3 linked regions of the Rhinolophus ferrumequinum genome follow. The protein of the gene in region 1 interacts with the protein of each later gene in a pairwise test. Links are inferred from orthologs where the notes say so. Each region holds a gene or a part of one and is shown on either strand. Other genes may lie near its edges.

Region 1 (4,693 bases):
GAGGTGGGCAGGAGTAACTTTTGCAAGAGAAAGGGAGTCAGAAAGCAGTGAAGAGGGGGTAGGGATGGGAATGCGGAAGGTCAGAGGGACTATAACATTGGCCTTCTAGGGCAGACATCTGCATTTGGGTTTTAGGCAGGTGTAGGCACCTATGTGAGTGTGTTTCCTGTTGCAGTCACTATTGGACAGAGTTCCTACACCCCAGCCCCTTTCTTCAGGTCTCTTTTCTGTTTCTCTCCCTTACCTGCAAAACAAAACAAAACAAAACAACAACAACAACAAAAAACAAGCCTAGAGATTCCTTGTCCTTCCTCCCCTTAGGTCAGACTCGTGCTGCAGCTCCTGGGCAGAACCATCTAGAAACTGGCTGAATTGATTTTTCTCCACATTACAGGCCTCTGCTGGCCAACAGAGTTAGACTGCAGGAGTCGAGGCTCTAGGCCAAGGGATGGAGCAGGATGATGGGAGAAGGGAGGAGGGGATGGAGGTTCTGCCTAGTTATTGTCTAAGGTCACTTAGACACTATGAGGCAAGAGGAGAGAATGACAGCCTGGCCAGAAAAGACCTAACCACTCAGAACTCAGCTGAGAAGGTTTCCCAAATTGGACCTATACCTCTAACCTACCTTGAATCTTAAGGACACTGAAGGAAAAGGGTCCAGCATAAGAAACTGAATGGGAAAGCAGTAGGACTATGGAAAAGGAGGGGTTGAGGTCTGGGGAGGAGCCAGGAAAGTATGCATAGAATGACAGTGAGTTCCAAACTCAGGAAAATAGGCATCTCTCTAGTCACTTGGTCTGGCACTATTTCTAAGTGTTGCAGCATCCTGCAAGCTCAGAGAACATCCTGGGAAACATCCCAACCTCAGGCCCCCAAGGGCTCCAGGGTGGCTCCAGTGAAGAAGTTTCAAAATGCTAGTCCATGGAGAGTCGCTGGTCAGAGATAAAAGTTTATGGATAAGCACCGCCCCTCTCCCCAAATTAAAAAAAAAACACCACAGTGTGGTTTTTCATAAATCAGGATTTACTAAGTTTCGAAGGACTGTCTTTTTCTGAGAGTATATCCTTCCTACTTTTCTACTTAGAAATGATGGCAATAGTAAGTAGTAGGTTTTCTTTTTTTTCTTTTTAATGTGCTTACTTGGCAAAATGAAGGTAACAATACTGTATCTGTCCTCGCAAACTTTTTGTTGTTGTTTTAATTTTATTGAACTATTAAATTCAAAAGTCTGAAATGGCTAAGAGAACAGAGGATACTCAGATGTAGAGCCACCATTTACCTATTTATGAACTTAACATAGGATTGCCAGGTTTGAAAAACAAAAACAAGATGCCCAGTTAAATTTGAATTTCAGATTTAAAAAAAACACACTAATATATTTTGTGTTATTATGTCCCAAATATGGTGTGAGACATACTTATACTAAAAAAAATTATTAGTTGCTTATCTGAAATTCATATTTAACTAGCGTCCTGTATTTTATATGACAGCTCTAAATTGAGACAATTGCTTCACTTTTTCATTCTAAACGTGACTGAGGCTTTATTAAAGTTTACTTGTTGTTGCTGTTATTGTTGTTTTTGAAGTCTTGGCTGTGCCCCAACATGCCTAGTTGTGTTATGTTTATCTAGTCATTTAACTTCTGGAAGTGCAAATTTATTCATTTGAAAAACAGGAATTATAAAAGCTCTTTTCACAGACGATGTGAAAATTAAAGAAAATAAGTTGAATGCAATAACTCCCATCACTAAGTGGCCTGAGATGGGGATGTCGCCTCCCGCCCAATACCGGGTCGGCCAAGACTACATATCCAACAATCCTATGCGGCGTCCCTCCCCCCGCCGCCCCGCCATTACCTCATTCCCTGGCCTCGTTCTCGCCAACCCTCGCCTCTCCAGGGGTGTGGTAGCGGGCTGTTCTCGCGACTTTTGCTTTACCCTTCTCCTGTGCTACTGCTGTCGCGAGACTTCCTGCTTCTCCGCCTCCTCCGCCGCTCCCTTTGCCGCCGCCTTAACCCGGGACCCGGACCCAGCCTCTCCCCTACCCGAACACCGGCCCCGGCTCCGCCGAGTCCCCGGTCCCCCAACCCCGCCTCGCCGCCGCCATGGCGGACCCTAAATACGCCGACCTTCCCGGCATTGTGAGTACAGGGCCGGCCCCGGGTCCCCAGGACCGCGCCCCCAACCTCCTAAGGACCCCCAACAGACACCAACCCGTGACCCCTCCCGCCTGCAGCCCCTCCTCCGCCCCCGGGCTCCCGCGGCTCGCTCCCGGACGGGCCGCAGCATCTTCCGGACTCCTCTGACCCGACTGGGCCGGGCTTTGGGACGGCCTACCAGGCCCCTCTTCCGGCAGTCGCCGGTTTCTCGGCCCAGAAATTGTCTCCGGGCCCTTACCATTTGTGGTCGAGTGTTTGCCATCCGTGTCAGCACCACCCGTGTCTCCCCAAACCTCCCATCCCCACCCCAGAAACACATACCAGGCTATTTAGTGATGGCCTTTATCCTGCCAAGGCAGAACCCTTCTTGTGCCAGATGGAGAACTGTCCTGGGAGTGTCCACCCCAACCCCAACCTACCTCTCACATGCCGTCATGTACCCTTTTCTGCTGTCCTGCCTGCATTCTTGGAGTGGGGGTTGGGTCACAGGATCATGGGTACTAAGGTCCTGAGTCACTCTAAACCCTTGTGCCAGGGTAGTGGTGTATAGAACCTGATTCAAGGATAGTCCTTCTACCTTTGCCATCATGATTGCCAAAGACCCACCCCCCTTCAGATTCAGGGTAACATCTTTGTCATCACTTACACTCACCATTGACCATCAGGTCCCAGTTGTCCCACTCTTAGCCCCATTCTTCTAAGTCATGGGAACTGATGTGCATTTAACCGGGCAGGTGGAAGAGAAGGGACAGAATCCTGGCATCACAACCTGCCCTCTCTGTTAACTTGTTCGAATGGAATAGGGTCAGGGGTGTTGGTGGATGCTCCGTAGTGAAGCTGGGTGGTCACTGCTTCTACCTGCAGGCCAGGAACGAGCCAGATGTGTACGAAACCAGCGACCTCCCTGAGGATGACCAAGCGGAGTTTGATGCGGTAAGGCTGTGCTGCCTCGGGACTCCTCTGGGCTCTGACCTTCCTCCCTCAGGCAGGCCCTTTCCCATTTCTGGGGGCCACAGCAATAAGCGGGTATGCCAACCCAGCCTGGGTGGTGTGTAGGTGGCGGCGCTTGCAGAGGCCTTGCTGGTCTTGCAGCTGCCAGTGAGCCGTGCCAGGAACTAATAAGACCTGATCCTTGACCTTTGAAATATCTCAAAACAGTTTTGGGACTAGTGATTTGGTTAAGCCCCTGGGTGCGAGCCGTGGTAATGAATCATGAAGCCGAAGCACTTATAAACTGCTAGAGGTTAGGACCTAGACCTTCTCATTCAAAAATATTTCATTTAATACATGTTCATTACCATCCTACCAAGAGCTAGACATGGAAGTATAGAGAAGAACTCTTTTATATGAATATCCAGTATCCGTTGGGCAAGGAGTAAGAAAATAATTTGAAGATTTTAGAAAGAAGAGAGACCTGGTCAGAACAAAACAAATTTGAGGCAGAACACAACTCTGATATCAGCATAGGTGAGGCCCTGGTAGCGCTCAGATCCAAGAAGAATTCTGAGGAGGAAGGAATTAGCTGTGGACCCATTTTAATGAGGGGAACCACTTAGCATTGTTTATTGAATATGTTCATTCTGTGTTGATTTTTTGTGTGTGTGCAATGCAGAGGAAGAAATGTCCCTACTCTCAAGGATCCCCCAGACTAATGGGGGAGTTAGGAAACATAGGAAACACGGAAGAAAAAATAAAATTGAGTGAATGAAAATCAACATAGTAAAAATTCTGTATGTAAGTGCTAAGGGGAACAAAGATCTATTACCATGTCTTGTAGGATGTGTTTTAGGTTCTGTTATTTCCAAAAAGAGCTGGGCTAGGGTTACATGGATGGTGTGAGAGCTCAATAAAGTTGCGACCAGGAGTCAGTGGGAACAGGCTCAGTATGTGTGTCTGTAAGTCCTTTGTCTGTGGGGCTCATTAGTTCTCGAGAATGCTGGTTGCTGGCTTACAATGTATGGCTTGGCGTACTCACTTATTCCTTATTTGGTTTCCCCCATGTGGAAGTGGTTCCTGCTTTGTGGGGTACACCTTCCCATCCCCTCTCTCAGTGGTGTGTGCCTTGTGGCTTCTGTACTTGCTGGCATGTCAGTCTGTCCCCCAAGCCTGAGTATCTGGAGATAACGCAGATGTTGTCGTTGCTCAAGCACCTAGGTGTGCACCTGTCCCTCCAAGAGGTATCTTATTAGGGAGCTGCCTGACCTCACAGGGCAGGAGTGTGTACGCTGAGATCTCCACTCTACTGCCATAGTTCAGAGAATGCTCAACTGTGGCCTAGGCCTCTGCCAGTAAGAATCAAGCCTTCGTGGCAAAATAATGAATGGGACTTTGTTTTTTGGTCACTGACCATGATACAGATAGGTAGTACCACAGCAGTCCCCATTCCAAACCAAAAAATACATTGTAATTTTCTTTTGAAGGTACTGGGATCTCTTCATAAAAAGAAGATGACCCCCATTCCGGGCACGGTAGAACCTGAATGTGCAGCCCTGATTGGCTGCTCCTCTGCTGAGCCTGAGCAGGCTATTTCAATAG
Region 2 (4,693 bases), on another chromosome or scaffold:
GAAGATAATAGTGAAAATCATTTCAAAAGGATATTGTGTCCAGAACAGTGCCTGGAAAATACTCAATAAACAATAATACTAAGTAACAAATAATATAACTTACAATATTTTCAAGTTTGTAAAGGAAAAATGCAAGCTGAGCATGATTACCTGGAAGGCAATAACTGAAGCATTATTGTTTCTGAATGAGATGTTTGTGGGCAATTCTTTTCTACTTTGTTATACTTCTCAGTATGTATTTTAAAATAAAGTTTAAAAATTAAGTTTTAAGCATGCATGGCTTGATGGAAATTAAGTTTGAAATTTGGAATAGGTTAAAATTTATAACCAATTATACTACGCATTAATGAAATATTAACTAAGTATTATACAGACGATGTGACAGAATTTACATTTACCTTCTTTTACTTTGTTGTAAATACATTCTAACTAGGAATTACTTTTTCAAGTTTAGCAATGTCAATTTAACACTCAGAAATAAACTCAAATGTTTATTATAATCTTAATATTTTGACCTACTAAAACTAAAAAATTATTTTTTAATTTAAAAAATTCCCAAAGGTGCCTTTCATGTTCAAGCTCTAATTAGCAACCACTCTGGTCTCTGACACATATTGCGCAGATATTGAAGTGTTAATAATACTGCAGCTTGATTACAAAAAGGCAATGATTAATTTTAAAGCAGACAAAAAAGGTATGTCCTGATTACAAAGGAATGATTAAAGCGGAATGTCAGACATTGCACATTTATAGCAGTCTTTGCCATAGTCAAAGGATAAGACTTTGCAAAAGTTTATATTTAGAATCACGGATACTGCCTGCTTTATAATACTGGGTGTTCGGGCCTTCGAGATAGATCACCCTGACTCCAAAGGCCTAAGGCCTTTGGGGGACACGTGGCCACAGGAAAATGTAAGGGTGATGGTGTATTTTGCAAGGTTTAACAATGTAGTTCCTTTTTCGTTTTTCTTCTTTTGTTTCCTTCCTTTCCTCCCTGATTCAATTGCTCTGTTTTCCCAAGGTTGCATACATACCTCATTAATCTGGTCAATCGCCAGAACATGGACTTAAAAGAAACTTGCAGCCCTTAGACTTCTAGAAGCGGACAACCAGGCTGCAACTCCCCTGCAATTTTCCACCAGTTGACGCATGAATCGCCCCTCCAACTGAGTGGAGATAACATTAGCTCCCAAAGAACTGGACGGACCCCAGGATGCGATTTTTTTGGACGTCAACCCCCAGGAATCGCTTGACTCGCCCTTCCCTTTGTTCTGCCTCTTCTTACAGGCCTATCAAACCTTCTGGCTGTTCTAGAAATGGGGAAGATGGCCTTTGAGGTAGGAGCCTGCCATCTTCCCGGAAGACTGGCATTTGGATAAACCTCCTTTTCTTTGCACCAACCCTTGTCTCTGGGACTTCGGCGTTTGTGGGGCAAGCCCAGAACCTGGGATTTTCGGTACCAGAAGCACCTGAAGGCAAATGGGCCAAAGGCGGCGCCGTAGTTTACGTCCCTCCGACGTGAGGCGCCGGCCGCAGCCTCCGAAGGTCTCCGCCGGCGACACTGTTAGTCAGGACCGGTCGTACCGAGAGGCGGAGCCCTGTGAGGACCTTCTCTCCAGAGAGAGGGGCCGGAGAGGTAAAGCCTGAGCACAGAAAGGGCCGCTGCCCAGACCTGCTCGGGAGCCACGGCCTCGGGCCTCCGTTTTTATTTCCCACCGGCACAAAAAAGAAAACCGGAGAGAGGGGCCGCGGCCTGGCCCGAGGGGACCTGCGTTCCGCCAGGGAAAAGGCCGCGTTTGAGGCGGTTCTCACCAGCGGAACGAGGGCGCGAGAGAGGGAGAAACGGGGTTTGTCTCTTAGAACAGGACACAAAGGCCGGGGGTGGGGGGAGGGGGCGGCCCGGGCGGCGGCCCGGCCGTCGGGGCCTCTCGCCAGCCTGCCTCGGCCTCCGGCCGGCCTTGCTGGGGGCAGGGCACCTGGACGTGGACGTCGATATGGGAATAGCCTTAGAATAATCCTTTCTTATGGTGCTTTCCAGGATCTTCAGAGTCGGTTATAAAATATTTAAGGGCAAAAAAAGGATCCGCAGGAGCCTGTGCGGAGATGAGTTTAGAGTCCTTGTTTCAGCACATCATCTTCTCGGAGCAGCGGGCGGAGGAGAGTCGCCGCTTGATGCGAGAAGGTCGGTGGGCTCGTTTCCACGGGACCTTTGTCGTCTTCAGTTCGGAGCTTGGAGCAGAAGTAAATCCCCAACGTAGTGGACTGAGCAGTTAGGGGGGTGTGCTTTCCACGTCGAGGGGACAGAGAGCTGAAAGGTGACTTTTCACAGGCCACCGAAATGGGGACTTGAGAAACATTGATGTGTTTAAGGATTTAATTTGTATTACAGTCAGGTCGGAAATAAACAGATGCCGTGAAAAACTTAAGAAAGCCACAGAGGAGCTGAATGAAGAGAAAATCAAGTTGGAAACTAAGGTACTGACCTGTGGAGTGTGCTCATTATCATTTGAAAAAGTCTGTTTTAACTTGACTTTTGGAAGATATTTAACTAGTTGTCCTTCAAGTAGGAAGCAGCTTACTAGCCTGATTAGCATTTTGTATGTTGCCTGGGAATATTTAAAGTTCTGAATCCGGTGACACCTTCCATTCTAATATGAATTTGTCCTAAAGAAAGAAGTTTAAGTAATAAGGCATTCGTTGGCCGTGTTGTGGGATGGTTAACGTTTTAAAAGAGGACAATGTCATTGGAAAAATAATTGTTCCATAAGTACTTGGTGCACTATGTACATTTTGAATAATAAATAATTTAAGAAGTGTGCTATGTTGATGTAACAATTGAATGTAGCTTCAAATGAGTCTCTGCCTTTTGTTTTTCAACTCTCTACCACATTTTGTACTTGCCTGTCATCCAAAAGCATAATTTTTCTACTAGCATTTCTCCTTTTTCTGCAGCATTTGTAAAGTTCTGCTGTTTTAAATAGAAGCAAGGGAATCTGATGGTTTCTTGAAGGAGGATTTTGAAGCATGCGTTTTGGACAGGCAAATTAATAGGACAGAAACATTCCGGTCAGGGGAGGATCTGAAGGAAAGGGAGACATACCTAATGCATATTGGGAGAGAAATCATCCAAAGCAGAGGACTGATATCTGGGAAGAGGAGGAAACCATCGCAGGTTTTTGATTGGGAAGCAGAGCAATAAAAGTGGTTTTCAGAAGATCGCTCTGAGTTCTGGGAGGATGAGAGCTATGAACATCATCCAAGTATATCACAATGAAGGCCTTGCTACGAGCAGGGGCAGACAGTCATACAAAAATGTTTATTCAACTCCTAAAGATCACTAAGCAAGCAGTGTGCAATGGGAAATCTGTTTGAGGAAGTCTGTTTGCCTTAAAATGTGTCTGTCTTAATTTACCACTGAGGAACTTCCAGTTCTCGTTTTGAATAATGTAATTATAGATGTTTTCTCTACCTGGGGAGCTTCTGCTCTTCCAAGTCTTGCTCAGGCATCAGGTGTGAAGCCCTCCCTTGGACATCTTGGAAAAATTCTTTCATTATAACATTCAGTGCATCACCTTACAATTAAGCAACAATATATACTTGTGTTTGTGTTTGTATCTTTCAATTTTGTGAGCAATATAGCTGGAATTTTTTTCTTACCCATTTTTTTATTCCAACAGCCTTTATCCAATGCCTACAATTAGTATATATTAGCATTTTAAATGACTTAATGAGTGCTAATAATGAGATAATAGGGAGAGTGCTGTCTTTTACAATAGAATTTGAAACCATTACTCAGTAAGATCTTAGGTCCTGTTTTGCTGGAGTAGCAGATAGACTAGCTGTTAACAATGCTAAAAGCTGATGGGATGGGCAAAGCATTAAAAATGTCATGATGTACTTTAGCTTTCTTTTTCTTTAGAAAACAATATACTTTGAGGACTGGTAACTAGAAGCTATTAGAAGTAATAGGCAAAACAGTTAGGTAATGCGTAGATAGCTACCACTCATTCAGCACTTACTTTATGCTGGGCACTGATCTAAATACCACATCTGTATTAACCCCTTTAATCCTGCCAGGAATTCTGTGATAAGGCACCATCATTTAATCTCCCTTTATAGGGGAGGAAACCCAGAGGTTACATGACTTATCCATGGTATATAACGTAAAAACAAACTACCATAATGAAAGTACGATAGCATATTTTATTAAAACAGATTTCTGAGCTCATCTTAAACTTTTTTCCATGAAATTCACGTATAATGTATGTGAAAATTTTGCGTAGAGTTTAGGGCAATATTTTTAGAAGGTCACTTATGTAAGTTTTTGTACAAAAATGTATTTTTCCTAGATTGATGAAGATATTGACCTGACAGCAAATGTTAAAAAAAAAAATTGCTATTTGAATATCTTCTCTGAAAAAAATTAGGTTTGCTCTTTGTAGTATTTTATTTGTTAGCAGCCTCTTTTGCTGGAAAATGGAAATGTAATTTGTTGATATATACATGTACATAAAAAATGTTGATTCAAATATTTATACCTGAGAGGAGAGCAAATCCCTAACACTGTTTAGAAACATTTGCTGAAATTACTAATTAGTATAGGTTCATAAATGTGTATTGCTTTTTAATCAGCTCATGTACGTGGGTAATAATGCAATTGCATCTTATTAATAAAATTAACAGAAGAAGGTCA
Region 3 (4,693 bases), on another chromosome or scaffold:
CACTTACATAATTTCAAGTTTAAGGAATTTTTTAACAAAGACATTACGTGTTAGGATTTAAGGTATAGCTATGAAATACATAAGCACCCTTGGGTAAATTATGCATTAGCTACCACCATTCCTTTACTCAAACTTTGTCCCTTGCTGACAAGGCAGTTAAGGATTAAGTGCAAAATGGCAGCTCAAATAAAAGAGCCAGAAAACCAACCTATCAGTTTTCTTTTCCACTAAATTAAGATCAAGAGAGTTGGAGAATATTTTGTCTAGAATGATACAAACATATAGGTGCAAAAATTCTCATATACCTTTGCAAAAAATTACTTCCGTGACCTTTGACTATACAATGACCCTAATAATGCAAGCACTGTTTTGAATGCAAGTATATGGAGGACATTTTCACAATGTTAGATGACTTCAGTGGTTTAAGACATTTTTTAAAAATTTATTGGATAAACTCATAACATGAAAAGAACTTTCAACCTATTCAGTGAAAGTTTGTACATTAAAGTTTGCTTTTCAAAAATGTGTCACTACTGCTTGCTTTCTACCCACAGGTTGTGATTATCTCAAAGGTGAAATTTTAGCATATGACTAAAAGGTCCTATAGCTACAGCTTCATGATTCAGCATCTAACATCAATAATTCACAGTGAGATCACAGGTTCTCTGTGGAAGGTAGTGACATACTTGCCTTATGAAAGGAAGCTTAAGGCATATTGAGAGCATTTTGAATTTAGACTTGTGGCTTGTGTGGGTGTCAGGCATTTGTTTCTTAGCTAGTGAGGGTGCAGAAGGATCCTCCTTTGGGAAAGGCTCTCTGAAAAAGGTGAATTTGGGTTGTAAGGCTAGGATACACACATGTGGTAGCCAGAACCTCCCCAACATGGTTTTCCAGAGTTATCCTGGGCAGGTGGGAACCCTTTCTGCTTTCTGTGGAAAAGATTCCAACTTGGTTCCCTGCCATGACCAAACACAAATGTGTTGATTTTTCTTTTTTGAGCTTCCAACCCTTGCAACCTTCCAAAAATAAATCAAACCAGCCATCAGGGCACCGAAATAATACTACTACTAATAAGCAGCTTTGCCTAGACTTACATAAACAACACTTCTGAGGTAAACTTTGCCCCAAAGGTCTGCACACACTCTTTTTTATGTAAACTTCTTACTAATAATTACTAGACTTGGGTGCATTAACCCCGAAAATAGATTTTAATAGCAACCCCTAAAAACAAAAGACATGAAACGACAATTAAAAAAAATGTGCACCAACTAGAAAAACACTTGGCAGCGTTCTGCAGCCCAAGCTGAAGACACCCCTCCTCCCTACTCCTTGCCACTGCAAAGACCTCCTTGTCCTGCCAACCCCCTCCACAGGATAAGAGAGCCTACTTGGGACCCCGCCCTCCCCTATCCCTAAGCTCGCCTTCCACGTAGCTCCTCCCCCTTCCGCTCCTCTCAGCCCTTGTTCCAGGAGCTGGGGTCAAATTGTCGGAGCAAGCTGATTTGCATAGCCCAATGGTTGCGCGTATGCAAATGAGGCGAGAGGTGGTTGGCTGGAGGGTAGCAGGATAACTCCAGTGAGCCCGGCCTTTGTCCTTCAGTGGCTGTGAGGCAGCTGCGGTGTTGGCGTCGCTGCTCTGGGCTAAGCGAGGCGAGGGGCCGGATAGCGAGCGGGGCGAGAGGGGCGGACCGCGCGGCGGCGGCGGGTGCTAGAGGAGCCTGGCCTGAGGGAGTGCACAGAGCCGGCGCCCGCGTGCCCACGGTGGCAGGAGCAGCCCGCACGCCGCTCTCTCTCTGTGGGGGACCTGCAGTTGCAATATGACTTTGGAGGAATTTTCGGCTGGAGAGCAAAAGACCGAAAGGTAAGTCGGCCGAAGCCTCTCCTTGAACTTGCACTCGCTGCGCCCACCAAAGTGCAACCAGGCTGTGGAAGGTTGCTGGGGAACGAGCGGGTAAAAGTTTGCAGAGAGCACCTCCGGCCTTTCCCCTACGGGAACCCTCCAGAGGGGCGCCGGCGGACGGAAAGAGTGTTTCCTCCCGAACCCGACCGAGCCCCTCTAGGCTGCCTTTGCAAAGGGCAGAAGCGACCCTCCCTGTCGTGCGGCTCCTGCGGCTGGCAGCCTGTGGCTGCGCCCTGCGCCAGGGACTGGCAGTCCGCTTGGGGCGGGGGGGTGGCGGGTGGCATTCTCGGGGATTCTAACAGGACACCCGGCCTCGGGGCGTGCGAGGGGTCATGGGGGGTGACGGGGCCGGGGTAGCCCCGGGCTTGCAGGAAGCTGAGGTGCGCGGTGACTCATGCACTCGGGAGGGAGGGTCGCGGTGCAGGGCGAGGGGGCGCCGAAGGTTCTGAGGAGACCCGGGCTGACGCGACCCTTTGCTCTTGCCGGTGTGTAGGATGGATAAGGTGGGGGATGCCCTCGAGGAAGTGCTGAGTAAAGCTCTGAGTCAGCGCACCATCACGGTCGGGGTGTACGAGGCGGCCAAGCTGCTCAACGTGTAAGTGGGGCCCCTCGCGTGTCCCTCGTGGCACCCCTTTCCACCCCCAACCCGGAGAGGTCGCCCAAGCCGGGTGCCCCTCGCCCTGCAGCGCCCCTTCCTGCTGCTTTCCATCTGCCCCAGAGGCAGCGAGCGGGTCCGGGCACGACCCCCGGGAGCCGGGTGGGTCCGCGCGGGCCCGCAGCGCCTCTGTGCTCACCCGCCCCTCCCGCTGCCCGCAGCGACCCGGATAACGTCGTTCTGTGCCTGCTGGCCGCGGACGAGGACGACGACAGAGATGTGGCTCTGCAGATCCACTTCACCCTGATCCAGGCATTCTGCTGCGAGAACGACATCAACATCCTGCGCGTCAGCAACCCGGGCCGGCTGGCGGAGCTCCTGCTCCTGGAGACCGACGCGAACCCCGCGGCGAGCGAGGGCGCGGAGCAGCCCCCAGACCTGCACTGCGTGCTGGTGACGGTAAGGGAGAAGGGAACTGCGGGCCCGCCCGTCGCGGTTTCGGAGTACTGGAAGGAAGTGAGCCAGGGCGGACAGTCTGCCTGACTGCAGAATAGGTGCCCGTCAAGCGCGTGGCTGCCTTTGCCCCATTAAAGAGTGTGGCAGGACTTTCAGCCGAGATGTGCCAGTTTCATCATCAGGATTTTCTCTGGTACAGAACATGCCTAAGCACGTCGGAGGCTGCCAGCAGCGGAAGAGATCCTTGTGAGTCAGCACTGTCAGCCCAACTACTCCCTACCTACATCTGTACTACCTCCCGTGACTAATTCCTTTAGCAGGGTAGATTAGATAAAGCCAAATAAATTCCTGGCTCACCCTCATTAAGGAGTCAGCTTCATTCTCTGCCAGTCAAAGCTAAAAATAGAAATGGTGTAGGAGACAAGCCTCATTAATTCCCTAGAAATACATAAAGAGGATAGAGTGGAAATTTTTTCTCTGCAATCTTGCATTTTTTTTTTTTTTTTTTAGTGGAGGGTTTCTTTTTTTTTGTTTTTTTTTAACCCCCTGATAAAAACCTTTGGTAGGTAGATAACTTGTAGGTGTAGAGGCAAATGTGATAGCTTTGTCTTTTATATTTTACTACTTTTTGGCTGGTCTAGTTAAGTGGCAGCCCAATTATTTTGTTACTCCTGAAAAAACTTTTTCTTTTTGGAGGATAACAGGTGGCAATTATGTAATAGTTAACTGCTATCAGCTCTCATCTCATTGTATGGGCAGCTAGAAATATTTCTCAGAAGTTGTTCACTCAGGTTTGTGCCACAGTACAAGTTTGGTAGGACAAACCTGTGAATGACACTCATGCAAAACTGAATAATTGTCATGCAAACATGTATGTGATTCAGTGGGTTGCATGAGTTCACACTTCGCAGGGTATAATTTAGTACAGAATTACCCTTAATGATTTTGCAGGAAATCCAACTAACTAGAAAAAAATAATTTTTTAAAAATTTTATTGGGGAATATTGGGGAACAGTGTGTTTCTCCAGGGCCCATCAGCTCCAAGTAGTTGTCCTTCAGTCTAGTTGTGGAGGGTGCAGCTCACTGGCCCATGTGGAAACCGAACCTGCAACCCTACTGTTCAGAGCTTGCACTCTAACCAACTGAGCCATCCAGCCACCTCCTGGAAGAAAATATTTTTGTGATTGTAACCAGTCTCCATGTCACAAAACCCCAGTATAGAATGTTCAAGTGTCTTTCCCTGAAAAATAGTGTACTTATTAGCAAATGCTGATAGTGTTTTTTTAATAGTAAATTTATTTCTCTAAAATTGTCCCTAGAATCCACATTCATCGCAATGGAAGGATCCTGCCTTAAGTCAACTTATTTGTTTTTGCCGGGAAAGTCGCTACATGGATCAGTGGGTTCCAGTGATTAATCTTCCTGAACGGTGATGGCATCTGAATGAAAATAACTGAACCAAATTGCACTGAAGTTTTGAAATACCTTTGTAGTTACTCAAGCAGTTACTCCCTACAGTGATGCAAGGATTACAGAAATTGATGTCAAGGGGCTGAGTGAGTTCAACTACATGCTCTGGGGGCCCGGAGATAGATGACTTTGCAGATGGAAAGAGGTGAAAATGAAGAAGGAAACTGTTGAAACAGAAATATAAGTCAAAAAGAACAAGAATTACAAAGAACCACGCAGGAAGGAAAACAAACTATGTATTAATTTAGGATGGTTGAGTTACATTTGATTAA

Evidence for each region.
Region 2: the proteins of DCTN2 (region 1) and CCDC172 interact in binary tests that used the Homo sapiens proteins (3 or more experiments, as listed by UniProt). The two-hybrid records come from large-scale screens. The link is inferred for Rhinolophus ferrumequinum from reciprocal best matches to the Homo sapiens genes DCTN2 and CCDC172.
Region 3: the proteins of DCTN2 (region 1) and GADD45A interact in binary tests that used the Homo sapiens proteins (3 or more experiments, as listed by UniProt). The link is inferred for Rhinolophus ferrumequinum from reciprocal best matches to the Homo sapiens genes DCTN2 and GADD45A.

Annotation. Positions count from the first base shown.
Region 1 is NC_046293.1:56,513,890-56,518,582, reverse strand, and holds the start of DCTN2 (dynactin subunit 2), read left to right. Parts: upstream 1-1,820; 5' UTR 1,821-2,104; coding exon 2,105-2,140; intron 2,141-3,022; coding exon 3,023-3,091; intron 3,092-4,693. UniProt on the Homo sapiens protein: Part of the dynactin complex that activates the molecular motor dynein for ultra-processive transport along microtubules. In the dynactin soulder domain, binds the ACTR1A filament and acts as a molecular ruler to determine the length.
Region 2 is NC_046299.1:12,233,174-12,237,866, reverse strand, and holds the start of CCDC172 (coiled-coil domain-containing protein 172), read left to right. Parts: upstream 1-2,044; 5' UTR 2,045-2,103; coding exon 2,104-2,182; intron 2,183-2,389; coding exon 2,390-2,475; intron 2,476-4,693.
Region 3 is NC_046292.1:49,812,004-49,816,696, forward strand, and holds GADD45A (growth arrest and DNA damage-inducible protein GADD45 alpha), read left to right. Parts: upstream 1-1,588; 5' UTR 1,589-1,817; coding exon 1,818-1,861; intron 1,862-2,393; coding exon 2,394-2,495; intron 2,496-2,716; coding exon 2,717-2,954; intron 2,955-3,150; coding exon of another isoform or gene 3,151-3,197; intron 3,198-4,270; coding exon 4,271-4,384; 3' UTR 4,385-4,600; downstream 4,601-4,693. UniProt on the Homo sapiens protein: In T-cells, functions as a regulator of p38 MAPKs by inhibiting p88 phosphorylation and activity.